Linked DNA regions of Daphnia pulex. The protein of the gene in region 7 binds, or shares a complex with, the protein of the main gene of each other region. Links are inferred from orthologs where the notes say so. Each region holds a gene or a part of one and is shown on either strand. Other genes may lie near its edges.

Region 1 (4,198 bases), on a different chromosome or scaffold from region 7:
AAGTTCAGTACTGGGAACGTTAACCTCCGCTTCGATTCTCTATTTTTAAAAATTACGTAAAATATCACAAAACCGAAGACGAAAAGTTTTAGCTATAATACATACGCGTATAATTTCACTATTTTCTCTATTGTGCTTTCCATTCCAGTTAAGTTCAAGTGAACAAATTGGTGTAGAGTTCGGGTAGTCTACAGGAACCATGAACATCGCGAGTAGTTTTGCTGGAATTCAAATACAAAAAAGGTTCCAATAATAATTAAATTCATCATACAGGATCCTTAACAGAAATTAAATTTTAAAATATTTTACAACTATACCGGATTCTCTTTCAAGAGTTGCTTTGTAAAACGAAAGGCTTTTTGGATTTACTTCAAGGAAGTTCAACAGCCGTTCAAGGTTCTTTGACGTTACGAGGCATTCTTCATACGTAGAAGACGTCCATGAGACGAGTCGAGAATAGATTGTTGGTGGAAAAGTAGCATTTGAGTCTTGATTGAGATCAAGTTCACCCTTTTCTGTTTAATGTTAAAGAAACTATGCATATTTTAAAACTGTTTTATAACAAGTATGAAATAAGACTCACCAAGTAAGTGTAAAACCTTAACAAACTGGAAACGATAAGTAATCCTACTTTTTAGGGCAAGAATAACCTAAATACAAGTAAACACGGTTATTCTTGTTTTACTATGTTATTGTTGTTTAAAAAATTATAGAGACCGTTTCAACGAATTCCGTGTTGATGAAAGATTGAGGTGTCGATTTTACGATGCCGTTGAAATCTAACCCAGCTAAACGTTGGGCCCAAAGGTAAGGTTTTCCTTGTTCAGTTATTTTACCGTTGATCATAGACCTTGCTTGAAAACAATTGACCCAACTGGGCGATTCATCCCCATGGTCGTTTGGAAAAAGTCCGGAAAGGAGATTATCGATCATACAAATCTGACTAGTAAGAGAAAGACTTTTTTAAAAGACATTTCGACATATAGAAAGAAAGCAATAATATAATCTTACTTTACTCCATCGTCTTGCTGAACGGGCTTGCAGTCGACCGTGACGATATTTAATGTTGTTAAATACGTGAAGTTAAGGACAACGCGTTCAATCTTAAGTTGAATACGTAAAGGATGCCTAGTCAATTGCCAATCTGTTTTCATTTTATTTGAAGTCGCGGAGCGTTTGTTTGTTTCATATTCCGTCTCCATGTCAGATTCCGCTGAATCAACATCCTCGAGAATTTCGTCCAAACCAGTTTTATTCTTTGACCCAAAATTAATAGCATCTTCCATTCCACCTTCGATAGAAATTTGCAATGACGGATCTGCGGGTTAAAGTCATATTTATCGTAACGATTAAGAAAACTTACGAATTTAATAAAATTACCGCATGCTTCAATGAACGCTTTTATCTGACTGTACAAAATGTAAAGTGGATCCGGTAATAACACAGCCAACTCTTTCTGAAACTTGATTCGCTCTACAGGCAAATTAAGCTCTTCTTGTAAGGGTCGCGTGGACTTTCGAAACATAAATATTAAAATCAAATTCTTTTAGATTTTGTATCACTTAATTACCTCAAGTATGGAAGTAAGTCTGGGTAACAGGCTTTCAAGTTGTTTTTGTTTCTGACTGATTTCACTGGATGCCTTTTCTCGATTTTGTTCCAGACTACGGCACTGTTCCGAAAGACGTTTCCGTTGTTCAAATTCCCATTCCAACCGAGCCAAAGTCAATTTGTGTTGATTACTTTTGGTCAATTCCTAAATGTAAAGAAAACAAAATAAGAATACTTTTTGGTAGTGGTTGGTAAACAATAGGTAGATTTTCATACCATTTTAGAAATGCTACTTGGGGCCTCCTGATAAAACTCCTCAACAGGAACAAGTTCAATGTCCTCATCTTTAGACTTGAACTCCAAACACTTGTCCACTTCTTTCTTCAGATGAAAGACTTCATACAGCAGATTTTCTAGTTGTAAATGAAATGTATCCACACGCTGCTTGGCATCATGGGTTGTATCCCTTGCCTTTTTCAATCTAAGCTTGTCTATTCGATTTAACTTCTTCAATGTTACAAACAAAAGAGAAGCTTCTATTCTTTTTTCAATGATCTTTTTACTGGTTTCTTCATCGGTTTTTCCAGATGTTTTCAATTGTAAAATGTCTGTCATCAATCTTTTTAATTCACAACATGTTTCTTTGAATATTTTCAAGTCACTTTCCCCTGTCCGGGATTCAACTTCCTTGTCTTCAATGTCCATGAAATTCTAGAAAATCATGCAAATGAAAAGTTAAATTCAGCACTATATCATTTACCCAATAAAAAATCTAACCAAAGTTAAGAGAATTAAGTAACAAGTACCTTGCAAAATTCCTTCACTTTACTTGCTGCTGCCATAGATGAAACATCATTTTTGCTTTTTTTGGGATCTTGTTTAATAGATTCGGAGTCACTTCTTTTAGTTTTGGAAGGTTTAGACATTGTTAATACCGCTTCCAAGCTTGTTCCGTTTACCAGTTTACTATGTTAAATAAGTCTTGTCTACGTCTACTATATGCAAGGCCGACAAAACTGTATAACGTGTTGAATCTTTTTATTCTTAAACGGGTACACGTAGCGGTAATTTTAAGAACTAGTTCCGTTAAAATTAAAATTTTCTTTTAGCTTTATCAGGCTTTATCAAAGAAAATAGGAAAATAGCCCGAGTCCTGGAACCTTGCTTTAAATAAATTGAAATTTTAAACAATACTCTTAATCTTGAAAGGACTGCGCATTGTATCAATGATTTAGAAAGAGGACCTAACCGTTTAACATTACCTTTACATGAGTAAGGGAGTTTCCCGATAGCTTAAAAATATTCAACCACCAACATTTCATTTCTCTAACCATGAGTTGAGATATAGACATCACTAATTATCTCAAAGGGATCGTCAAGTATGCAATTTTCCTGTTATACATTTTATCCTTCCCATTTAAGGATTAATAATTGGTATTCAAGCAAAATGACACCTTATACCTATAAATCATGTTAAAACTACTGTGGGTTATGTTTGTGAATATTTTAAAAAGGTTTCAAACTTTTGCCTTTCTTATGTCTGACTTTTACGAAAGTTTTCCACCAAATAAGCTGTAAGAACTGAGGCAATTCGACGTACGTCTGACACATTATAGACAGGATAATCTTGTATTTTTGCCGTTTTTGGTTGAAATACAAAATACAATCCCGAGAACGGTTTACTTCTTCTTGCCACCCTTGGCAGCCTTGGCTTTGGCGGCTTTAGCCTTTGCCTCCTTGGCTGCTTCAGGATCTTCAGCCGCTTCCTTAGCTCGCTTAGCTCGGATACCTGCAAGGCGTGCTGTTGTTCGGGCCGTGCGGAGTACAGCATAAGGAGAGAATTTGCGATCGGCCGGAGTGATGGCGCGAGCCTTCTCCAATTTGTAAGACCTGGTGATGGGCATAACCTCAGTAGTCAACTGTTGGGCCAACTTGATTTCCTCAGGCTGAAATAAAACATAATGTTATTGTAAAGTGGTGGTACACAATCCTTGTCACAATTCTTACAGTAGCATCAGTCTTCTGGGGTTTCTTGGCATTGCGTGGGAAGAGGATCAACTTGCTCTTGTAGACCTTCAAGCGAGTGGCGTTCAACTGCAATGATTCCACAGACTTGTTACGACGACGGTGGTCAACAGCAATACCAATTGTTGGGGCGAAACGCTTAGGGATCTTGGCAGCCTAAAACAAAAAATTCAAATAAAAATGATCACATTAATATATAAAACTTTGGAGCATATGGCATAATAAAACATTTGCTACACTAAACCAAATGGATTATTTAACTCTTCGACAATGAAACCAGAGCAATTTGCAGTTTGATTTGAGTCGTGTCTGTCATAATTTCCACAATTCAAAACATGATACATTAATAGTAAATATGTTACCCTCAATTCCTCCAAACTGAATCCTTTTCCAGCACGAACACGAGTGTTGTACCGGAAAGTCGGGCACCTGACGATGGGCTTCAATGAAGTCGTTGGACGAGGAAACACACGACGAGCCTTGGCTACACGGTGTGCGTGCCTCCTCTGCTTGCGAGCTGGCTGTAAAGATGAAACACTACTGTAAAGCACACATTCAACACACATATTAAAAGAAATGTACCTGATTAAACCAAGTCTTGACATAACGCTGCCACTGTTTG
Region 2 (3,130 bases), on a different chromosome or scaffold from region 7:
CCGAATATCTAGTAAAATCGCGTAGAGAAAAAAATATTATAGCCTATTATTGCAGCATTTGAGTTGTAATATGCTTTTGTAGTACAGGGGACTTACTTACTGTTCCTGTCCCTCATGGTATAGGACCATGCTGTCTCTTTCCAGATTTCTAAAAAAGCGTCCTACACTACATAGTGAGGGTTTTGAACCCACACTTTATTAGTGGCGGGTTGCTTATTACCTTTGCACGATTATTTCCCTTCCAACTTGAATTTTCTACATTAACCTAAACCGCTACTCCCTTCGACTTGCCACTAGCCTAGAACTCCCTCACTAAATTTCATCTCTTTGTTTCATGCTGCTCTTTTCTTTATAAAATCAAGTGAAATTGCGCACCAACATATCAGGTTATTTCAATTACAAACTAGAAACAAAACAACTCCGCCGACCAACCTAACTCGGACCCATGAGAAAATGTGTTTCAAGTATACACCAAATTAGTATTTTTTTTTTTATCGGGATAAGAAATCAGGTCACATTTAATTTTAAAAAACTAAAAATTTTGTGATCGAACCAAGTCTTTGTTTCATTTAACTGTACGTCAATTAATAAACTTTAAAACGAACATTTCAGGCAAGTCCGAAACGTTCAGCACGTTTGCGCTTCTGTTCGTCAGAACTGCCGACCGCAGTGCTCGTAGTTCCGAATCTCTCTGCTCGCTTCTGTTTCTTCTCATCAACTTCGGAATTAGAATTAGAAACGACGCCAAAGCGAGCTTGCCTTTTCAGAAGTTTGTCATTATCAGGAACCTTAAATAAAAATTCACTACATGAAAACACGAAGAACGATGAGCTGATCAATCGAAAATACCTGAGGTTTTGATGTGTTTGATTCTGTGCTATTTGTACCGCCAAATCTTTCTGCTCGAACAGCTTTCTTCACAGAATCGGGAATAGGAACACCAAATTTCTGTGCTCTTAGTTTGGCTCTTTCTTCGGCAGATAAGGAACCAAGTTTAATCACCTTCTTTTCTTCCTTTGAGTCAGATTCATCACCTTTATTGGCATCATATTTAAGGTGGTCGTCATTTTCCTGTGAAACTGTGCCAGAATCTGATGGAGGAGTTACCACCTTTCTGTTCAAGATGATTTTTTTATGGGGAGAAACTATTTCATTCTTCGAGTCCTGAACAGTCCTGAAATATTATTCATTTCATCATTAATCTTGAGGCAATTATTTTCCAAACAAACAGAGTAACTAACTTTTCAACTGTAACTTTGGGGGCACTCAATGCAGTAGGTGTTAAAAGAACTGCATCATCTTCTTGGGCGATCAAATTTGCATTTCCTTCCTCTAAAATAGCTTCTTCATCCTATACCAAAAATAAAATTGCATAAGTTTATCACATTGTATAAAACCAATGTTCTTACTGCTAAAACTGCCTCCTCATCCAAAAGGTCATCATTGTCTAAGGCGCCATTATCTCCAGTATCGTCATCTTAACATCCACGGAAAAAAGCTTGAACATAAACATGGAAACAGTTTAATAATCAAAATGATAAAAGTTTACCTTGCACAGCATCTTGCAGTCTTTCCATCAATTCATTTTTAGTGCCAATGGTGCTGAGGCCTCGTGTTTTTAACTCTTTTTTAAGGTCCACAACCTAGCATGAAAACAACAGTCAAGATGAAATGCACACAGTAGGCCTATCACTAGTTCAAAAACATAATAGACATTTGATTTGACAAACTCAATCAGGATTCTAAGTTGGAAATATTGACAAGTTTCACTCAAATATAAAGTTAAGCGGGTTACTTTTAATTTAGAGATGTCCATGATTGTGATGATAATGATGACGTTTGTCTGTACCGGCGTCTCAAACTTTCAATGAATTACAATTGGAACGCGCAACGCGGTAACTTGAAAGTAATTCGACTTTTGAATGCCAGTGTATTGTTTCAGAGGAGAAATTGCGTATGCTTTTGCTGGCTTCTAAACTAGTGATCTCTATCGGGCGCATCCTGTACTAAAGTAGTGTCACCTATCGTCAATGCAAAAAGTTTGTCCGAGTCATGTTGCCATGTTAGTGTGTTACTAGCCAACAATGAGAAAGAAAACCCTCGAAAAAGTAATCAGCCACGTAGGATAACTCTGGTAGGATTTTGAAAAAAAATAGTGAGAAATTAATTTTAAGCGATGGGTTTCTCGGACAAAAAGGCTACGCATAAAACATTGCAACTACGTTATTTCTGTAATCGCAAATGATCAAACTCATTGTCAAAGTAATTTTTTTTTTTTAATTTAAAGAGCTTGATAAAAACTTCATAAAATATCTTGTGATAAACCAAGTAAAACTGATTGGCTTAACTAACTAGTGTGTGTATTGTAAATCAATGATTTTAAATTTCATCGTAACATCGTAGTGAATTTTGAATTTTTGATTCTTTTCCCGCTCAAAGAACAAGAAAGTGACAAAAAGTAACGTGTTTTAAGACAAGCAAACAGTTCAAGCTGCAATAGTTATATAATGAATGAGACAAATGCTCAAGCCGTGTATTTCGCTTTGACATGAAAATACGTGCGCGCAAAAAGCACTTTCACGACGACGCTCAGCTTCGGACAGTAGGCAATGTTTACGTAGCGAGCGACACATCTCAAAGGAAGAAAAAAACAATGGTCTTTTCGCGTCTTTTTCTTTCTTTTTTAACAAAAAAAAACAAAAAAACAAAAACAAACAACCAATTCGCAGAAACGTGGCTATATTCCGGCAAGGAGTAAAAGGTGGGTAAAAGGAGAACACCAATTGCTGTGGCAATATCCAACTTGTGCGAGGCAATCGATTTCTGTTTTTCTTTTTTCAAGGCACGCACAACTTAACTATATATATCATTTACTGCTGAGGACAATTATGGTTTTACACGTTTCCAATAAGGGATTGGGGGGGGGGGGTTAAACGGCACGACGGTAGTCGATTTGTCTGGTCCCGGGATACTGTTGTAATAAAGGATATACAGTGATGCCCAATGATTTTCTTATGTTTTTTCACTATTCTTGGGACCCAATTTTTAAGCCCATTCTGAAATGGCGTCAAATTTTCTCTTTTTAGCTTATCGGGAATTGTTTTTGTTTTTTCCCCGATAAATACACGTT
Region 3 (2,948 bases), on a different chromosome or scaffold from region 7:
ACCAAAGGAATTTGCTTCATTCGTACATCTCGCCCCAACACAGCCGTCATCTACGAGAACGAACAAGTTTTCTCTGCTGGAAAGGGTCACGTTGTTCGTAGTCACGATCAAGACGATTTGGTTATCGTTGGCGCCGGCGTTACACTCCACGAAGCGCTGAAGGCGTCCGACATGCTGATGGAAGCCGGCATCAAGGCTGCTGTCATCGATCCATTTACCATCAAACCCATTGATCACGATTTGCTGTTGAAGGAAGCCACTCGTTGCAACGGCCGGGTTTTGACCGTTGAAGACCATTACCCAGAAGGTGGATTGGGTGAGGCTGTTGCTTCAACTCTAGCCGAACAACGAAATATTATCGTCAAGATTTTGGCAGTTCGCGAAGTTCCCCGCTCCGGTCCTCCAGAGGTTCTCCTAGAACATTTTGGAATCGGCGCCAAGGCTATTGCCGAAGCCGCGAAAAAACTTGTTGCGTTGTAAACGCCCTTTTTTTAAGTCACTCATTCCTATACCCATTCCTTACCAGAGGTCTATGGATAGTTGAGAAGAATTGGTGGTGTTTTTTGAAACATTCTTCTATGGCATTCCAAGTCGTATATGTACCGTTTGGATAGTTTATTCATACATAGCTTTTTTGGTGTTTCAAATGATTTTTATTTGTTAGCATTATTATTCAAAAATAGAAAAAAGGGATGCATACAAAATGAACAATTATTAGGATGCTTCATCATCGTTAAGAAGTTGCTGTAATCCTTGGATAGTTGAAATGAGTAAGTGAAATTGTTTGCGTCTTTGTTCTAATTTGGCCTCCAGTTTTTGACATTCACATTCTGAAGCTTCCAGTTCCTGTCGCAATAGGGATAATTTCTCTTGGTTGCTCTTTCGATCAGGCTGTGTTTGAATAATGGCAGCCAAAGCATCATATTCCATTTTATTCCTGCGAATCTGTCTTGCTTCTTGCAACTCCTTCTTGGTTGCTTCAATGTCTTTTTTAGCTGACACAATTCCTTCTTCAATCTGGTTGTAGAGGTCGTCATAGTGCTGCTGTTCTGCAGTGTTCATTTCACAGCACCTCAAGGATTTTGTGGCAGCAAATTCACATTGGGCAATCTGACCAATCATTCTAGCGTAGGATGCTTGTCTGTAAAACAAATAAAAATACATCACATATAGAGTATAGAAGAATTTTATACAAAGATTAATTTACGTTTCTTCAACACTATCTGTAGAGTTGCACCAAGCTAGGAAACCTTTAAGCAATACATTAAGTCTTCTTTCATCACCAGTTCCTTCGCCATCAAACAACAGCCTCCTTCGGATGATCTCTTCTACATAACGAAGTACAAGATGAAAATTAACCGAAATAATATTACTAACAAGTCAAATTACCATCTCCCATTTGTGAATAATGATTGGGATCAAAATAAGACCAATAATAATACAATTTAACTGGTAAAGCTTTGAGAATATTGAGATGTCAAACCGGGCGAAAGAATGAGATGACAAACCTAGGAGAAATGTCGCTGCGGAAACGCCGGAAAGTACTGAAAAATGAAAAAATATTTTCGTCTGCCGTAAGCGTAGTTCGCTCGTCTTTTGTTTTGTTTTTTAAATCCGCCAGCAGACGACACGCCCCTCAAATGAAAGGAAGGAGACATGGCTTTTTAAAAAATCATCCGATTGATTAGGTATCTATTTTGTTTAGGGTTAAACTTGCATGCCTGTATAAACATTAGCAAAACCGAAAGAGAGCTAGTCCAGCAGATCAGCAATATACTTGGGAAACCATTGAACGGTTTAGAATCAATCAGGTGATGTCAAGGAAAGAATCCAATGAAATGCTGGATCTGGAGTGTTGTTTTTCTCGTTTCCAGATTAACGTCAATCTCTTCTTTTTAATTAAACTGTTGCCTTACATTCTAGGAAAACCTGTTTTTATTGTCCTGAAAATTGAGATTGGTGATCAAGATTGACAGATTCATTTTAAACAGGTGTGTAACTGACAGTGAAAAAATAATTTTGGGTGCAAGATACTTACAAACAACATTTATTTGTAAGTATAAAAGGTGCATGTCAATTAATGGTTGTATTTGTCAAGATGTCAGATGGTTGATTGGTTGGTAATATAAAATAACTGAGTTGAGAGAGATTTGGTACCTCAATGGGGAATTTTCACATATGTGTTTATCAGTTGATGTCATTATGATTATGTGCAGCTTGTTCTCATAGTCATACTTGTTGCAGTCCATGTGTGAAAATTGTAAAAAGATACTTAGCGCAAAGAAAAATGTACTTTTTGAGTTCCGCAATGCATAAAATCTTTTGCCAAAATTAAAAAAAAAATAGACGGACGATTGAGGATTTAAATTATTGCTAGAACGTTTCGCTAGAAGATAATTTCATCATTAAATCATCATAAAATTTCATAAATTGCCAACGAATAGAATCAACAACTTTAGTACGCTTACACATTAAGGTCTTCAAGTGGCAAAGAAACGCAACGCATTTTTTAATTCTAGGAAAAATATACAAGTACTATATTAAAGGTAATTTTGAAATAGTCCAATGGGTGTTAATGCCATAGAGTAATTAGAGGAGGCAAGGCATCAAGGGCAGTGGTAGCTGCCGAGCTGCTTTCACTATAGTTGCAACGCTGTTGCAGGTGAGGAAAGAAGACGGAGTCTCGGAGAGGAGAAATTAAGAAAAAATTTTCTGTTAACAAAGATGGCGTCCAACGATGACAGTCCAACAAGTCTTCATGGCCAGCCTTGGTCTGTTTGGGCTGATAGATTAGGCAGAGATAGTCCATTAAGTGAGTAAATTGCCTTATAAGTTGTCTTTTCTTGATAGCTAACGGATATTTTGTGAAAATTGTTTTGATGGTGTTATCGAATCGGTACGGCTTCGGCCTATCTCGATGGACGGCTGTTTAAATTGTCAAAATAAAA
Region 4 (3,608 bases), on a different chromosome or scaffold from region 7:
CACGAGAAGCATTCCGAGTATTTCACGTTCTAGCTGCGGAGAACAATGAACATGAATCTACTCGAGCAAAACGATACATTCGTCTATGTGCCGCTTTGCTGCCTATATATGGGTGTGTGTGTTTAGTGTTTACCAACTACCGTTACGAAATATCAAACGACATTTTAGCCTTGTACATAATCAACGGCACGTATGATGTAACACAAACTATCAATCTATCTGTTTCTACGAAATATGCTTATTATCACGACAACTTAAATTAATTTGCCTTTAGTAATAGAATAAGGATAGGAATAAGTCTTACCTAGATGGACTGCTTGCATAAAAGCGTCGTATTTCTTTAAACGTTAACGCCCTGTTTTTTTCATTATTGACTAAAAATTTGTGCCGAACGGTCATCACCTTTTAACAAATATGGGATCTAGTAATAACGAAAATTATTATTGAGTAATTAATTATGTTTGAACGTTAAAAAAAAGGGAAAATGTGTCCTGGAACAATTCAGTTTTCTGGAAAAGATCTCTGATCTGAGATCCATTTTACTTGTATCTCTCTCAACACAGTTGAAGTTTGTAAGCTTGGCAAATAGTTCTTGACAAGAGTAAACAAGAAAATCTGCAAGTGAAAAAATAAAAAAAAAAAAGCTGGATTCTGTATAAAACACGAGACCTCCTAGTTTTGATTCGTATGGGCCCATCACTCGTTAGAGAGACCAAAGAGCTTCACAGTTCCGGCGTCTCTGTTTCCGTCGTCTTTATCGTCACAGGCGTAGGCCAGCAGGTGAGAGCGTGGATGCCAGGCGACTGTGAAGGTTGGCGTGTCAACTGGAATGCTGATAACGCGCTCGCCTGTACCTACGTGGCTGACGTCGATCAGCAAGTCCTCTGACCCGGACGCCAACATGGACCCATCGTGACTGAAACTCAATGTCCGAACTGGCCAATCCAACCTAAAGGGGAAACACCCAGTCAGTAATTGAATAACCTCAATAGAAAACGGCACGTTATTATTGGCATTAATGTTACTTGGAGAAAGTGCGCAAACAAGCAATTTCATCGGCATCCCACAGAGAGACTAGGGCGTCGGCCGACCCAGTGGCAAAGTACCGTCCAGTGGGGTCGAATTCGATGCAAATGCAGTTGGCGGGGTGAGCCTGTGTGACGTGAACGGTCGTAAGCTCTGGGTAACTAGATACAAGAGAATTGATAGCGTCATGCTAGATTGAAAGCAGGGGGAAGAAAATTCATCATTACTCTAATATGTGGATGCAGCCTTGCCCACTAGTCAAAAAGAAAAGATTGCTAGCCTTGTTCCATTCTATTTCGTTGACTTCAAACTTGAACGGATGTTCTATTTTAATCTTAAAATTCCTGGCATCAATAAAAGTAACAAGGTCTTCCTTATTTCCCACTGCAATGGAATTTCCATCAGGTGACCACGTGATGTTGATATTTTCTCCTGTCAAATCACATTAATGAAGGATTGAATGTTTAAGCATAATTTCGTAATTAATTGTACCCTTGGTGTTTACTGTGGCGACACTCTTTTTAACTCTTGCATCCCAAACTCTCATGGTTTTGTCTCCACTGGCGGTGCTGAGCAAATCAGGATTGGTTTCGTGCCAACATAGCTGATCGACACTGTCATTGTGTCCCACAAACGTTTGCTCCTTAACCTGAAACAGAATGCCTCAAGCTCCATTATAATTGCTGCATGATTGATAAGCCGGGACTAATACTAACCAGTCTGTCGCTTTCCATAGTAAAAATGCACACCGTCTTGTCAAAGGAACCCGACGCTAACCGTCTTCCATCGCAATTCCAATCAACCGTGTGAACCTTGGCCGAATGTGCAGAGACTTCCCTCGTTCGAGTGTGCGTTTTAAAATGATTTTTCAGCTCTTCCAATTCGGCGACTGCCATCTTCTTATAATTTCGGGAAAAAAAAGCGGTTTATATACCTTTACTCGCGTGTCAACAAAACACAGTGTGTGCAGACGAACTAACGCGAAGCCGGTCGTCCCGCCATTTCCAATGCCAAGTCTCTTCTTCATCCGCCAGATGGCAGTTGGAGCGCGAAATTTGAAATTCCTAACTCACTAATAAAAGAAAAAAGGGGTCGGGCAAGGAATGCGTGGTGGTAATGTCGTCTCCTCAATTGGCTCTGATTAGTCGGACGTTAAACGATACGTTTATCGACTGGCTGGCCCAAAATAACAAAAATAAAATAAAAAAGGCGTAGGGTGGGCGGATAGGTGGAAATGCTTTTGTTACCAAACACGGGACACACACCGTAATCAAGCGTGACTAGTACACACACACACACACACAATGAACTCAACAAGCGAAGGGCGTCCAGCCTCTATCAGACGAGATCTAGCTGCATGAATATTATACTCTCTCTCCCAAGTCCCAGCTACACATATAAACTATAGCTGTGGAGCTTGCGCCATTTTGAATGTTATTACACGTCCGATAAATATATATATATCTACACGGCAATAATATGCGCCAAAGCCAAAAGAACCGAGTCCAAATCAACTGGGATGGGCAGCAGCAGCAGCAGCTATGCCCGTTTCTTCAAAAACTACGACTATATAGATTTCAGTTTTCTTATATTTTGTTCTTTTTTTCTTTCTTTCACAGCGCGCAATCATCAAATGATCCGTGTTTGGGCATCGGGGTAATATAAAGCAACAAAAAGTCGTAGTCTCTCTCTGCCAGTGCATGCTGGACCCACAGCGCCGGCACACAGCACATAAGACATCTACAACAACTACAACCAGAACGGCTTCTATATAACGCTAACGACTAACGAGTTAGCATCGACTTTACAAGAATTTACAGCTGTATAGTCGATGGAAGAAGAGAGCGGGGGTAGTAAGGAGAAAAAAAAGGGAAATTTACGAGTCCCCCTCTTCTTCTTCTTCTAGGAGAGAAAAGAAAAAGAAGACGGCCATAAAATAAGCAAATTTCTTGCCCGTTAACTGACGATAAAAGCGACTGGGCGTCCAAGCGCGCCTTGTGGCCTGGCCTGGCCTGGGCTGCTGCTGATGCTCCTACTGGACCTCCTTTTTCTTTGGCTGCTCTCTCCATCATTACACACACCAAAAGAACTTCTTCTTCTTCTTCTTCTATTTTGATAGCCAATCGGTCCCGTGTGTGCGTAATAACATATCGCAGTCGTAAATCTGCGAACGTCTCGTTTCGTTTTGCCCAAAAAGATTCTTTTTCTCTCTCTTTCCCTGGACCTTTTGGCTGGTCACTGGACTCGTCTCGTTGGCCTATACCCAAAGAGTAGTAAAATAAAAATATATAAGAAATAAAGGAAAAAAAAGGGTTTTTTTTCCTTCTATTTTATTTAAAACTCTTCCTTCTCCCCTTCAAATGAAAACGTCTATAGGGTAATACGATTCCGATGATACGCTTTTTTGTTGCTGGTGTGCCTCGACACTTTATGGAGATTGGACCCGCTGGCCCGTTATATATATCCCGGTGATTTACAACGCGGATATATATATATATAAATACAGCAGGGCAGCTCTGCTGTGTGTGTTGTAACATTAAGTATATAATATATATAGGAGAGTTTCTATTACAATAGGCATT
Region 5 (4,117 bases), on a different chromosome or scaffold from region 7:
ATCATATTATTTGAATAAGCCAACTACAAAACCAGTAATATATCAAGATTATCCAGGGATTTCCAGACAAATGAATGTGAAAAATTACCTGACACCTAACAAACTCGTCTGTATTTCTTCTGGATCAACTATTTCAAAATCTTTGTTTAACAGCAAAACCCGTGCAAAAGTTATGAGTCTCGATAACAAAATTCAAAATACCTCAAAATATTAAAAAAAAATATATATATATATTCCCAAATGAGAACCTAAATCCCTGACTTTTCCCTGTATTGCAGAATGGGAACCGTGATATTCATCTGATTTTACTCTACCTGCATGTCCTTGGCCAGTTTGCGAACGTGCGTTTCCAAGTAATCTGGCAGCCGAGTGATAGGAGTATTACCATGAGTGAAGAAATGTAAACTTCGTCTAGCCAAAAGCCGCAAAGCACGCCACCCAAAATTAGCCTCACTAACTCGCCTGGAAACACGAAAATCGCTCATTCAGTTAAAACATTTTCGGAAAAATGTAAGCTTTAAAGTGCAAATTTTTACTTGTACTGGCTTTCCACTGAAGGATCCAGTTGCTCAATGGCTTCCTCAAAATAGTTTTCTAATGTAGGTAGAAAATCTCGATCTTTAGATCGACAGGCAGCCATGTTATCAGGACATAGATTCCACAAACGATTCATCTCAGCGCTAAAGAGAAAAAGCTGTAATTCAATGTTTTCAAATAATTTCATAATTTACCTACTTTCCAATAATGCACTTATTTCTTTTTGAAGCTTCTCGAATCTGATCTCCAAGACTTCTTTTGAGCCGTCTTGGTCGGCCAACTACGATCGTCTTTTTTTCTCCATTGGTACCATCTTTTATAGTATCATTATCAGTGGTTGAGCTGGTTATGCTGGGCCGGAATTCCGGGCAGCCATCGTTCTTCCAGTTGCTCCATAATTCTTCCCGCTACATCCAACAAACACCGATGGATGATATTTTTTAAAACTACTTTTATACAACTCAGTATACCTTTAGTATGTGTCGAATAGATTGGACGAAAGAAGCGCCATCTGGAGGTGTATCTTTCAATAACCGATAGACTTGATCGATAGCCTCGGAAACCCACGTAGTTTGTTCTTCGTTGAGCTTGTGAGTTTCGCTATAAATAGAAGCAATTCAAGCGGTTGAAATAGTCTAACTAATGAAACTTATTGAAACTAACTGTTTAAACTTGACAGGTGAATCCAGATATTGGAACATAATCAGAAACTGCAGCAGAATGTAACGTCTGAAGTTGGAGTCACCGAGCTGAAGTTCGAGAAGATTTTGACTCGTCAAATATTTGGCGAAATATTGTTGGACATTTCCACCATTCATGCTGGTTTCATTCATATCGATGTTTAATGCCACATCTGCCTCATCCCATTTAGAGCGGTTTCTCCGCTCATCCAGTTTGATAGTAGAAAATGCAGACAAAACATCACTAGTATGCTAAAGAATAATTGTTTTTCTGTTAGATGGAAAATTTTAACTTGAAATACTTGATGTTTTAGCTACCAAACAAAACGTTTTCCACGGGATTTTCGTATAGCACTGATTAGGGTTTCGAAAGAAATCTTGTAGGGACCAAAATTTTTTGTACAGATTGTAGTCGGAGCTCAAACTACAAAACAAGAAAATTTAGAAAAATATTGCAATAACTTGTCAATCAAATATATATACCTTTCTTCTACTTCCATTGCATCCTTGTGCTTTTCAGAATTAGCAGATATATCAGCAGCGTAGCTTTCATCTTTAGCTCCAAATGTCGTCAAATTATCCAAATTAAATTCGCTTACTACGTTAAGTCCGGATCGTTCAGAGAATGGGAAAAATTTTGCAAGAAATAGAAGAATTCGACCACAGAAAACCGTGTTCTGGCTTCGGGACAAGCGCCTCAGCAGATCTGAAAAAAAATATACATATAAAATTCATTTCAGCAACACAACTCACATAAAGCGAAACACTGTAAATGAATTTAGCAGAGTGGTATACATTGAAATAAGAGTAATGGATTGAATTCATATCAATACAGAATTAGATGCATCCAGTTACATAAATATTTGTGTCATACATTATTAGAATTTTGGAAAAATGTCTTTACATACCATTGCAAAGGCGAAGTAAGGTATTTTTACACTGATTGAAGAAAAGCTCTTGTTTCCAAATCGCTACTTTCATTTCAACCATGTAGAAAATTTCCTCACATTTTTCCAGAGACAGGATGTCAAAAGCATCTGTGAGCAAAATCACAGGCAGTGTTGGAGAACATACTAGAGCTACTGCACAATCCAGACTCAACTGCAACAACTTTTCAAACAATGGTATGGAAAAGTTTGAGGAATCACTCAAAAATCTGTCTCTAAACGCCTGATCCCATACAGCTTTTTTATCAGCTTCCCTACAATAAATATGTTTAATTACAATAATATGTAAATACTTTCTGCTTTGATTAAATTTACCCAAGATGAGCTGTATTGTTAACTGAAAGTAATTCACTGATAGTGGGTGGACCACCCAGTTTAAGAGCTTCAGAAATGGAATCCTACAGAAACCAAACACAGAAGACATAAGATTTTTCAATTTATTTCAAATATGGCTCATTGATAGATTTTTTTACTGTACCAGAAACGAACACCGAGTTTTCTCAAAATCAAATATTTCCATTTCAGTGGTTTTTTTACAAAGTAAGAAACATAAAAATAGTCGTGTTTTCGAAACGATCAGACGACGCTTCAAAACTTGGTTGCGTTGCCAAGTTTGTAAATTGCAATGTTGCCATTCTAAAATCAACTTGATTTTTTTTTCCGAATCCCGGAAAGCGGAAATTCTGGAAAGAAGTAAATGTCAAACCATTCAAGTTTAACTAATAAGTAATCGGTGATAATCAAATAATTTATCTGTTCAAAGAATATGTTTTGACTGAGATTACCGTTTTGACGTTTTCATACAAAAATGTTACTCGATTATCATCCCCTAGATGGCGAGTCGACGGATCAATAAAAATGGTGTTCTACAAAAGAGAGTCCTTTTTTGAAAAATCATCTAACGCGGGACTGCACCGAGTTTAATAAAGATAAAATTCCCATATAAAAACTACCTAATTTTAAGACATTTCTCATGTTTAATGTAATCGACAATAAGTAGCCTTTTTGAACTCAATATTTTCAATAGCATTCCAATGCTACTCATTTCACTACTAAACAATATTTAAGCGCATTCAAATACTCGAATGTTTTCAACTTCCATTCGTATTACTTTTATCATTTGATTTCCTATGAAAATCGGCAGGTATTGCCTGCCATATTACAACTACAGTATCGACTGCACTATCTACCGAGATTTCATAACCTTGTTCTAGTCTCTATATTTGAACTACCTCTGTTTGCTTACGAGCTCTGATTTTATGTCTACTTCCTGAAGTGCACCAGGAAAAGGCATAGAGGATTAGAGATATCGATTCTTTACTGCAGGGAACCGCCGTTTGTGGCACTTTTTAAAATCCTATTTCGCCTTTGATCATCTCAAATAAGAATAAATTAAAAGGAAATTATTAGTAGCATTATAAAACACCAGATAAAAGATATAAAATTTTACTTATTTCAAACCAATTTATCTGTGTCATTTGGACTGCAGGACGTCATCAACGAAAGATGACGCGGCACGTAAGCTGAAGCAAGAAACGCGAATCCTTAGGCCTTATTCTATTGTAATTAAACATGTAGATGGCGATCGCTTTGAGAGCCTTTAATGAGAAGAAGTTGTTTTCTCTGTTCAAATCGTCCCTGTGAACGAATAGAAGAAGGATGATTGCCAAAAACTTTGTCGATTTGTTTTTTATTTGCTGGCTACAATAACTCTTTGTCAAGCCTTTAATGTAATTATCTTGGGTTATTTACTCTCTGCATTGGCTAGTAACAATTGATGGGAGTAAAGGATAACTCGCAAAACATTACTATATCTCAAGCTAAAGTACGCAAACAAAACAGTCACAACGCTGTCTCCAGGGCAAAATGCCAAGATGTACTTGTACTTTGAAGTATCAAAATTGACAAAAAGTTGGTTTTTTCCCCGGTTTGCTATCAAAATTTCTCAACTTC
Region 6 (3,508 bases), about 3.2 Mb from region 7:
ATGTATCGATAAATATAGGATTTCAGAAACAACTCGATTGGATTCAGTCGTCTTTATTGACGGCCTGTGCAGCACGTTTGGGCATTTACTCCGACCACGAATTCCGTCATCCAATTACCTGTTTGAGCTTGAAATTGAATACGCCATGCCCGATAGTCCCTTGGACGGAAGCGGAAGCCTCCGCATTGAGTTCGAAACCCTTTCGCTTTTTTCTGCGTCAACTGGGTCTTTTCCCTTCGCTTCCTAACGCTGGCACCTATCCAAGGATCCCACTCGAATGGTCACCAGACACTCTGTACAATGTTGCTCTTTCGTTGGGTTCCGTTGCCCATCAGCAAGTTGATTTCGACTTGAGTTGTGTAGGAAAATTGTAGCTTATCCATTTAATTTAGCTTCGATCGGTCCCGCTTGATTACTGCTGGCCAATCATTAGAGTAATTTGTTGTAATTTTGTCTATGATCAGCGACGATTAAATGAAGGAACAAAAATCAAATTAGTGTTGAGGTTAATCATTTGTATTTTTTGGGATGAGTTTCTCTTTCTCGTTTCACAGGCACACCTTTTCACACTCAAGTCCTCGGATGAAATATGAATGAATTATAAAAAGATACATGTGCTAAGTGCGCCGTAACAGGAGGGAAAAGCAAGAAACACACGGCAAAAAGGGACTCCAAAAACTGGGGGAAAGTACAAGAACCATTTAATCAAGTGCTAGAATGAAATCAAGACAAGGTTGTCCAAAATCTCTTTTTTCTGTCTAGACTCTTCACAACAGTCCAACCATTTTCTCAAAGACAAATTCTGAATTGGATTCACTTTTAACTTTAAGGACTAAAACATTGTTAATAGTCAATCAAGACTTGGCGAAGGGGAGTTATTAGTAAGAAGGTTCTTTCGTTTGAAGTTGGGGAGCAGCACAGGTGAGGTAACGACTGGAGAAAGATTATTGCATATTTAATTCATTTCAACGTCCCCAATTTTAGACATGTAGGATTCAATATCATTGTCTAGAGCGCTACGAGTCTTTTGCATGTACTGATCCAATTGCTTGTCCAAATCTTCTTTGCTGACCTTGGTAGAGCCACCTCGACCACGCCCTCGACCACGTCCGGATGTCTGACCGCGCGGAGATGTCGGCAAGCTGCTTCCTCCACGACTGGGTCCCTTACCACCACGTTGGCCTCGTCCTCTTCCTCTTCCACGCTGGATACGACTTTCAGCTTGCCCGGTAATCAATGAAGATGTCATCTGCCCTCGACCACCTCGTCTTCCTCTCACGCTGCCTCTAGCACGCGAAGGTTTGGTCGGCGAACGATTGGTTGTGGCAGCAACGGGGGCTGGCTTTTTCGATGGAGAAATGATTCTTCCGCGAGTGCTTCTCTTGTTTCCTTGTCCACCGCCACGAACGATTGTTTGGCTGACAATGGGCTTCAGTCCGCCCCGGCCTCGAATTATCTTTGTTGGGGTGACCGTTTGCCCTTGCGTTCGACTTCCTCGCAGAGATCCTCGCGACTGACTCCCGCGACCAGCTCCACGATTGGTTGTGAGTCTCCTTTGAGTTTGGGTGGCCGTTCCGCGAAATCGAGTACTGGTGTTTACTGTGGCTCCAAGGCGTTGTTTGATGCTTTTCTGAATAACAGTATAAATGATGTAAGTATATCTGGTTATGAATTAAAAACGAGGAATTGCACCTTTTTCAGTTTCAAAGCAGCACTGACTGATGCATTTCGTCTTTCCATCTGTTGAGCTAGTCTGCTATTCTTGCTTGATGCCTTTTGAAGATTAGCTGCATTATTTCTAGCCCCTTGCAGTTTTCCAGCCAATTTCTGACCCCCTGCTGAGCTTCGTAATTTGGAGAATCTGTAACGAAAAATTTTCATGCGTTAAAAATCAGCAAATGAGAAGAAAATCAACACATACTTTATAAAAGCAAGGAAATTCAATGTTTAACAGGGGGAAAATTGCGGCAAACAACTATTTCAATCGCATATACGACATAACAAACCCAAATTGCCTAATGATTTATACCTTTCATGTAAGGATAAGGAAGTTGAATTATTTGGTACTCTGCCTCCTGAAGCCATTTTGTGCTAGAATACTGCTGAACCAAAGTTCAATTACGGTCAAGAAAATGCCGAAAACAGATAATTTCGAGCTATCTAGAAATGTTTCTCGTGAAGTCAATGAAAACAATTGCTGATGTTTGCCCGGCTGTGAACTAATGACGCTCAACTTTTTTCGACTGCTATTGGGTAGTAAAGTGACACCTAGCGGAAAAAAGAAAGTATGTCGTGATTTACGATTGAGTAAGAGTGCATGTTTTAAAAAATGTGGGTGGAGGAAATGTTTTATGGGTGTAGAATCATGTCAATAATTAAATATACTAGATAATACAGAAAGTGAAAGAATTGGAAATCTGTATTTATTTGAAATCAATGTATTCATTCTGTAAAACAAAATCAGATGACAAGCAGAAATGAATCTTTGTTTTTTTATCGTATGAGATGGTCAATAGTGTTTTATAAAAAGAAATTAGGCGGCCACTACTGTAGGAGTACTGCTTCCGTTTTCCTCAGCTTTAACTGCCGGAACGGCTTTCTCTGGATTGAATGTTGTCCAGCGAGCTTCATCTAGTGCATCCCACAAATCCTGATTGCGCTCAAAAAGTTCTCTGTTCAGTTTCTCAATATCGACGGGTGTATTGTGTTCTATGAGCTCAAACTCATCTTCTTCAGGTTGAGCAGGCATTTGCCCAGCAACGCCATATCCGGCATAAGCTTGTTGACCATCATAGCCGTATCCGCCTTGGTAACCATATCCTTGCCAGCCACCGTACTGTTGCCAATAGGCTGGATCGACGTACTGTCCGTAGCCAGCTGCTGCAGCAGCAGCTTGAGGTTGAACTGGCTGGCCGCTGGCTGCGGCCTGGACAATTGACGAAGCAATCGATGCAGTTAACGTAGAAGTAGAAGATGTACTGGATGAGGATCCTAAAAGTTAAAAGAGTATGAAATGAAATGTACTCCAAAGAAAAGTTTAAGCGTGCATTTACCAGGTATCATGTTGTAATTACGAGGAATAGCCAATGAAACTCTAAGTGGGTTGCTGCCGAGTCCTCTGTGACCTTGCATATGTGTCAGCGCATCTTTGTAATCACTTTCATTAGAAAAATTAACAAACGCATAGCCGCGACTTTCTCCATTGCTGCCTCTGACCACTAAACATAAAATACGAGAAGTTCAGATAATTGCCAATAAAATCATTACAGAAATTTTACAAATTACCCTTTGCCAATTGAACTGAGTTATATTTTGCAGAAAAACATTTGTAAAGGCCATAGTCATCTACATCAGCACTCAAATCTCCCACCCACAGTGCATGATCGGCTGTAGAACCTTTAGTGTTTGTGCTGTGATTTAACTTGAAACGGCTTGGCTAAAAGTGGGAAAACAGATAATATAACTAATATAAATTATGGTAAATTAAAAGTTAATACACTACCGGCTG
Region 7 (3,709 bases):
GGTTGGAATTTAAAAAGCTTGCCACAGCTTTCTCTGCCACTCACATTGTTACCTCATTCTATCTTTGATTAATACACTATCCGCGTTCAGCGTGGCGAAATTTCAATACTGGCGAAAATTTAACCTTCGTCTATTATTACAATTAAAAAAGACGATTTTAAATACCTGGTCGAATAAGTTTCGTTTCTCTGGGCTTAGTTGTGTAAGGTCCATGACCGAGAGAAAAGAGAAATTTTCCTCTCGGAATAGTAGAAAGAAAGAAAGTCCCGAGATCCGTATGTTAGATTGCGCGGCTCAACTGGAACTTTTCGAGTTAAGAGTTAAACTTTTTGATCGTTTTGACACTTTCAATTGTCAAAACATGGTGTTGGCTGTTTGTTGGGTTTTAACTCGACCTAATAGTTCCACTACGTCAGTTCGTGTTGTTCCACTGTGATTTCGCTTTATAAGTGCCCAGTCTGAACGAGAATAGCAGTGCGATGCGACCGATCTGTTGGGTGGTTCACACATCAAGAAGGCAAGCGAACGAATGTAGGCTAAGGCCATTAGATTTTTTGGATTCTAGCAATATTATTATCAGAGAGGAAAGCAGGTTTCCTTTCCTGGTATTTCTTCTTGCAGGCCCTCTGATGTTTACTGAATGCACTACGTGCTGTTGCCCTAGCGCTGTATTTTGCTCCCGGCGGCTTATCCCGTTAATAACAGCCTTATGTATTCACGGCGGCCTGAATTATTACAGGTTATTCAGTAATCACTCCACAAGTTTATAAACTCGTAAATTATGCGATCCGCGGGGGGATATAAACTGCAGTCAAGGTTTTCCTGAAGAAAACTTAACACACTGCTGCGCCGCTACGTCTCAGGTGTGACCAAAACACGTATCTTGGCTATCACATTTTATTATATATTTTTTTATTTGAAACATTTCACTTTTTTAAAATTGGTCTGGTTGTTCTGTGTCAAAGTCAACATCTCGAAAATAATCAAAAAGGCAAGTCTATAACAAATTTGGGGGAGTGTTTTCACACAAGTCTAGATACGGTATCATGTCTGATTCCAATAGCTGATTTCATGGGAAATCAGATCTAGTTAATCTAAGCAAATAAGATTAAACTACAAAAAGCTGAAGGGATATCGGTTTCGATTCAAGGCCCAAGGGAAGTGACGTGTAGGGAATAATGGGAATAAGTAAGTTGCGTTCAGTGTATGACAACTCATTGATGATATTCATTATATCTGAGAGTGTCCTTGATCTTATTATTTTGGTCTTTTCAAATCTGAAGTTGACCACATTAAATAACTACAGTTAAAATTTTTGAAACATCATTCAACAGCGCTTTAAATCGGTTTAGATCTTCATCGAACCAATGAAACCAAGTCGTAGTTCACATTTCTATTTGTTTTTGGCTTATTTCTCAGTTGAATTTCCCGGGTAATGGCTGAAACTGAAAAACCTTTCTCGGATTTCCGCAAATTAGTAGATATCGTAGCAGACGCTTCCGCATGGAGACCCAGAGCGCCACAAAAATCAAACTTTGCCGGTGTATATTCTTGTTTTGATTTTCAAATTAAAAGTTAAATTTACTGAGTTACAAATTCTCCGACTTCACGAATAACTAAACTGTTAAAGCAGTGATTAAAGTGCGAAAATATGCCTAACATAAAATCGTTTTACGTGACTGTCCTCTCTCAAGCCCTATCTCCTTGTGAGGAATTTCTAGCTGCTGGAACCAATTTTGGGAATGTCAACATATTTAAGTATTGAATTTATTCTTAAAATAATATTACTGAAAAAAAAAATTTTATTAACATGTATCTCTTCCTAGTATCAAAAGTTTGTATGCCGAAGATGAACAGGGTCCACGTGAAAGCCTCACATTACCACAGAAATGCTTTTCTGTCAGTACCAAACCTTTGCAAGCTATAACATCTTTAAATGATAACTTACTCGTTGGAGGCAAGAACTGTATTGAGGCATTTAGCTGGAATCAATTGGTGCTTCCACAGAATAGTGATGAGAAGGTGAAACCTTGCTGGAAAGTTGATCTTCGCTTGCCAACGTAACCATATTAGAATATTCTGATTATTACATTTATCATAATTAACTGTTGGTTTTATGTAATTTTATAGTGACTTTGGCACTAAAGAAACTGTAGATTGCATGATTAACGGTGAAAACTCAACTTTTGTTGCTTGTGGAGACAACAATATTCATCATGTAGATCTTGAATATGGGAAAGTTAAACAAACCTTCTCTGGTCATACTGATTTCATTCACTCAATGTCCCTGGTGTATGTAGATGTAGTTACAATTCAAGTTATTGCATAAAAACATTAATTACTTTTTATTGTGTGATAGTGGGAATCAGCTATCAAGTGCAAGTGAAGACGGAACAGTATGCATCTGGGATACTCGAAAATCAAAACCTAATCACGTAATTACACCACATTTGGAGTCTAAACTGAATCGACCCCATCTGGGAAAATGGGTTGGTGCTGTTGCTATGAATGAAGATTGGTTGGTAAGTCTTGTTTAAGGAAGTAATCTAATCGATGAGAAATCACTACAGTTGTTATTTGTCGCATATCATAGGTGTGTGGAGGAGGCCCGCACTTAGGACTTTATCATTTACGATCTTTGACAATGAGTAGAGTATTACTCGAAGAAGACGTCCATGGTGTTAACAACGTTATGTTTCACGAAGACAATATAATCGTCGGCGTAGATGGACCGTTTGTATACCAATGGTAATTTTTAAAAATTTAAATTTCCCCCTTGACACTAATGTGTGAGCTGGGTCAATTATTTTTAGCTTATTTTCGGGAGATATTACCGTCAAAATGCCTACAAGTCCCCTTAGAGTCTACAGTATTTGCCTCCAGAAAAAGGATGCAAATAAAGTAAAAAAATATTATGATAATGAAATGAAAAACAAATATAATCTTTGGATTGTTATATTAGTTGCTATTCGTCGGCGGATCCGGTGGAGACATTGACATTTGCACCAGTTCTAAACTACAAGATCAAGTGATTCGTTGTCTTTCATGAATTATGTATCGTCATTTGAACATTTTCATCTCGCTTGCCCTTCCATCAATTATTATACAAAAAAAAACAAAGACATCTGCCATGTCTTTAGATTAATAATGTCAAATTGTGATGTTTTATATCGAGTAATGTTCACAAGAAAATACATCGTGATAATTTATTTCTGGGTTTATTGAATCAATGTTTATTTTAGGAGTGCAATTTAAAAAAAATTAAAATTTATAAAACATGCATTGACGGCATTGACGGAGATTGGTCCGTGACCTGGCCGTGATTAAATTGATTGGCCAACAACGCGCGAGCTCTAGAGGAAGGAAGGAGATTTGGCAACGTCAAAGGCTAGGACGAAGCAAGCAACGTGCTTGGAAAGACTTCTCAACTTGAGAGAAGACTTCTCAAGTTCCTCTCAACAAATTTACGTTTTGATTTCATTATGTCCGAATTGCAGTCAGCATTACTTCTTAAAAAACAGCTAGCAGGTAATTCAGTTGTTCTTGGAACAGGTTATGTAAGATGAAGAGCGTGCGAGTCGCTGTACTTTTTATTTGTTTCACCAGTTTCACTCATTCAATGGCGTTGGCTGACGGCTTTCTTGTTTGTTATATGCTTGACTTGAAATTTTTTATCGAGTTTAAGTGTTGTTTTAACATTCGTTTATTT

Evidence for each region.
Region 1: the proteins of THO complex subunit 6 homolog (region 7) and THO complex subunit 5 homolog are in contact, whole or in part, in a cryo-EM structure (PDB 7APK), measured with the Homo sapiens proteins. The link is inferred for Daphnia pulex from reciprocal best matches to the Homo sapiens genes THOC6 and THOC5. Residues at the interface, in NP_001334633.1 of Homo sapiens: Val5, Pro6, Ala8, Val9, Pro10, Leu11, Gly12, Gln13, Val16, Phe17, Leu20, Gln21, Leu23, His24, Met25, Thr26, Phe28, Tyr45, Tyr80, Asp94, Glu125, Val126, Pro127, Glu128, Asn130, Gly146, Tyr170, His172, Glu188, Trp222; in NP_001002877.1 of Homo sapiens: Pro406, Gly407, Asp538, Ile539, Val540, Asp541, Ala542, Gly543, Leu544, Ser575, Ile576, Ser593, Asp596, Arg599, Glu602, Gly603, Asn606, Val607, Tyr609, Arg660, Phe662, Arg663, Gly664, Pro665, Ser666, Arg667.
Region 2: THO complex subunit 6 homolog (region 7) and SAP domain-containing ribonucleoprotein-like share a complex: the UniProt entries of both Homo sapiens proteins name them as parts of the transcription/export (TREX) complex. The link is inferred for Daphnia pulex from reciprocal best matches to the Homo sapiens genes THOC6 and SARNP.
Region 3: the proteins of THO complex subunit 6 homolog (region 7) and THO complex subunit 7 homolog are in contact, whole or in part, in a cryo-EM structure (PDB 7APK), measured with the Homo sapiens proteins. The link is inferred for Daphnia pulex from reciprocal best matches to the Homo sapiens genes THOC6 and THOC7. Residues at the interface, in NP_001334633.1 of Homo sapiens: Asp229, Trp232, His245, Thr252, Gln268, Asp269, Gln284, Leu285, Ser286; in NP_079351.2 of Homo sapiens: Lys110, Arg113, Lys114, Gln117, Glu118, Ala121, Leu122, Val125.
Region 4: THO complex subunit 6 homolog (region 7) and THO complex subunit 3-like share a complex: the UniProt entries of both Homo sapiens proteins name them as parts of the transcription/export (TREX) complex. The link is inferred for Daphnia pulex from reciprocal best matches to the Homo sapiens genes THOC6 and THOC3.
Region 5: the proteins of THO complex subunit 6 homolog (region 7) and THO complex subunit 1-like are in contact, whole or in part, in a cryo-EM structure (PDB 7APK), measured with the Homo sapiens proteins. The link is inferred for Daphnia pulex from reciprocal best matches to the Homo sapiens genes THOC6 and THOC1. Residues at the interface, in NP_001334633.1 of Homo sapiens: Leu57, Ser58, Ser59, Glu60, Pro312, Glu313, Lys315, Thr330, Asn331, Gly333, Tyr334, Ala336; in NP_005122.2 of Homo sapiens: Ser227, Pro229, Ile230, Asp231, Tyr232, Leu234, Arg236, Val270, Ser273, Tyr274, Asp309, Leu312.
Region 6: THO complex subunit 6 homolog (region 7) and chromatin target of PRMT1 protein-like share a complex: the UniProt entries of both Homo sapiens proteins name them as parts of the transcription/export (TREX) complex. The link is inferred for Daphnia pulex from reciprocal best matches to the Homo sapiens genes THOC6 and CHTOP.

Annotation. Positions count from the first base shown.
Region 1 is NC_060020.1:6,248,670-6,252,867, forward strand, and holds the start of THO complex subunit 5 homolog, read right to left. Parts: upstream 2,801-4,198; 5' UTR 2,478-2,800; coding exon 2,358-2,477; intron 2,263-2,357; coding exon 1,828-2,262; intron 1,757-1,827; coding exon 1,571-1,756; intron 1,514-1,570; coding exon 1,381-1,513; intron 1,319-1,380; coding exon 1,012-1,318; intron 944-1,011; coding exon 718-943; intron 651-717; coding exon 584-650; intron 516-583; coding exon 318-515; intron 222-317; coding exon 106-221; intron 40-105; coding exon 1-39. Other genes in the region: 60S ribosomal protein L13-like, read right to left, coding at 3,231-3,497, 3,559-3,732, 3,939-4,097, 4,159-4,198. UniProt on the Homo sapiens protein: Component of the THO subcomplex of the TREX complex which is thought to couple mRNA transcription, processing and nuclear export, and which specifically associates with spliced mRNA and not with unspliced pre-mRNA.
Region 2 is NC_060024.1:915,590-918,719, forward strand, and holds SAP domain-containing ribonucleoprotein-like, read right to left. Parts: upstream 1,954-3,130; 5' UTR 1,817-1,953; coding exon 1,796-1,816; intron 1,644-1,795; coding exon 1,550-1,643; intron 1,478-1,549; coding exon 1,410-1,477; intron 1,352-1,409; coding exon 1,242-1,351; intron 1,175-1,241; coding exon 850-1,174; intron 789-849; coding exon 609-788; 3' UTR 501-608; downstream 1-500. UniProt on the Homo sapiens protein: Binds both single-stranded and double-stranded DNA with higher affinity for the single-stranded form. Specifically binds to scaffold/matrix attachment region DNA. Also binds single-stranded RNA. Enhances RNA unwinding activity of DDX39A.
Region 3 is NC_060023.1:12,053,787-12,056,734, forward strand, and holds THO complex subunit 7 homolog, read right to left. Parts: upstream 1,547-2,948; 5' UTR 1,400-1,546; coding exon 1,390-1,399; intron 1,329-1,389; coding exon 1,208-1,328; intron 1,142-1,207; coding exon 715-1,141; 3' UTR 501-714; downstream 1-500. Other genes in the region: transketolase-like, read left to right, coding at 1-480; ataxin-7-like protein 1, read left to right, coding at 2,725-2,812. UniProt on the Homo sapiens protein: Component of the THO subcomplex of the TREX complex which is thought to couple mRNA transcription, processing and nuclear export, and which specifically associates with spliced mRNA and not with unspliced pre-mRNA.
Region 4 is NC_060028.1:7,657,440-7,661,047, forward strand, and holds THO complex subunit 3-like, read right to left. Parts: upstream 2,377-3,608; 5' UTR 1,923-2,376; coding exon 1,743-1,922; intron 1,676-1,742; coding exon 1,519-1,675; intron 1,459-1,518; coding exon 1,254-1,458; intron 1,188-1,253; coding exon 1,026-1,187; intron 950-1,025; coding exon 697-949; 3' UTR 501-696; downstream 1-500. UniProt on the Homo sapiens protein: Component of the THO subcomplex of the TREX complex which is thought to couple mRNA transcription, processing and nuclear export, and which specifically associates with spliced mRNA and not with unspliced pre-mRNA.
Region 5 is NC_060026.1:6,262,967-6,267,083, forward strand, and holds the start of THO complex subunit 1-like, read right to left. Parts: upstream 2,801-4,117; 5' UTR 2,685-2,800; coding exon 2,643-2,684; intron 2,563-2,642; coding exon 2,480-2,562; intron 2,419-2,479; coding exon 2,126-2,418; intron 1,924-2,125; coding exon 1,701-1,923; intron 1,642-1,700; coding exon 1,536-1,641; intron 1,470-1,535; coding exon 1,201-1,469; intron 1,138-1,200; coding exon 1,008-1,137; intron 945-1,007; coding exon 736-944; intron 681-735; coding exon 537-680; intron 463-536; coding exon 315-462; intron 1-314. UniProt on the Homo sapiens protein: Component of the THO subcomplex of the TREX complex which is thought to couple mRNA transcription, processing and nuclear export, and which specifically associates with spliced mRNA and not with unspliced pre-mRNA.
Region 6 is NC_060027.1:3,847,523-3,851,030, forward strand, and holds chromatin target of PRMT1 protein-like, read right to left. Parts: upstream 2,242-3,508; 5' UTR 2,086-2,241; coding exon 2,030-2,085; intron 1,862-2,029; coding exon 1,693-1,861; intron 1,631-1,692; coding exon 956-1,630; 3' UTR 501-955; downstream 1-500. Other genes in the region: protein timeless-like, read left to right, coding at 19-374; tRNA selenocysteine 1-associated protein 1-like, read right to left, coding at 2,534-2,991, 3,054-3,218, 3,286-3,436, 3,503-3,508. UniProt on the Homo sapiens protein: Plays an important role in the ligand-dependent activation of estrogen receptor target genes. May play a role in the silencing of fetal globin genes.
Region 7 is NC_060027.1:616,855-620,563, forward strand, and holds THO complex subunit 6 homolog, read left to right. Parts: upstream 1-1,275; 5' UTR 1,276-1,651; coding exon 1,652-1,758; intron 1,759-1,826; coding exon 1,827-2,060; intron 2,061-2,130; coding exon 2,131-2,292; intron 2,293-2,359; coding exon 2,360-2,522; intron 2,523-2,593; coding exon 2,594-2,748; intron 2,749-2,813; coding exon 2,814-2,901; intron 2,902-2,962; coding exon 2,963-3,049; 3' UTR 3,050-3,209; downstream 3,210-3,709. Other genes in the region: SEC14-like protein 2, read right to left, coding at 166-213; ubiquitin-conjugating enzyme E2 G1-like, read left to right, coding at 3,483-3,528. UniProt on the Homo sapiens protein: Component of the THO subcomplex of the TREX complex which is thought to couple mRNA transcription, processing and nuclear export, and which specifically associates with spliced mRNA and not with unspliced pre-mRNA.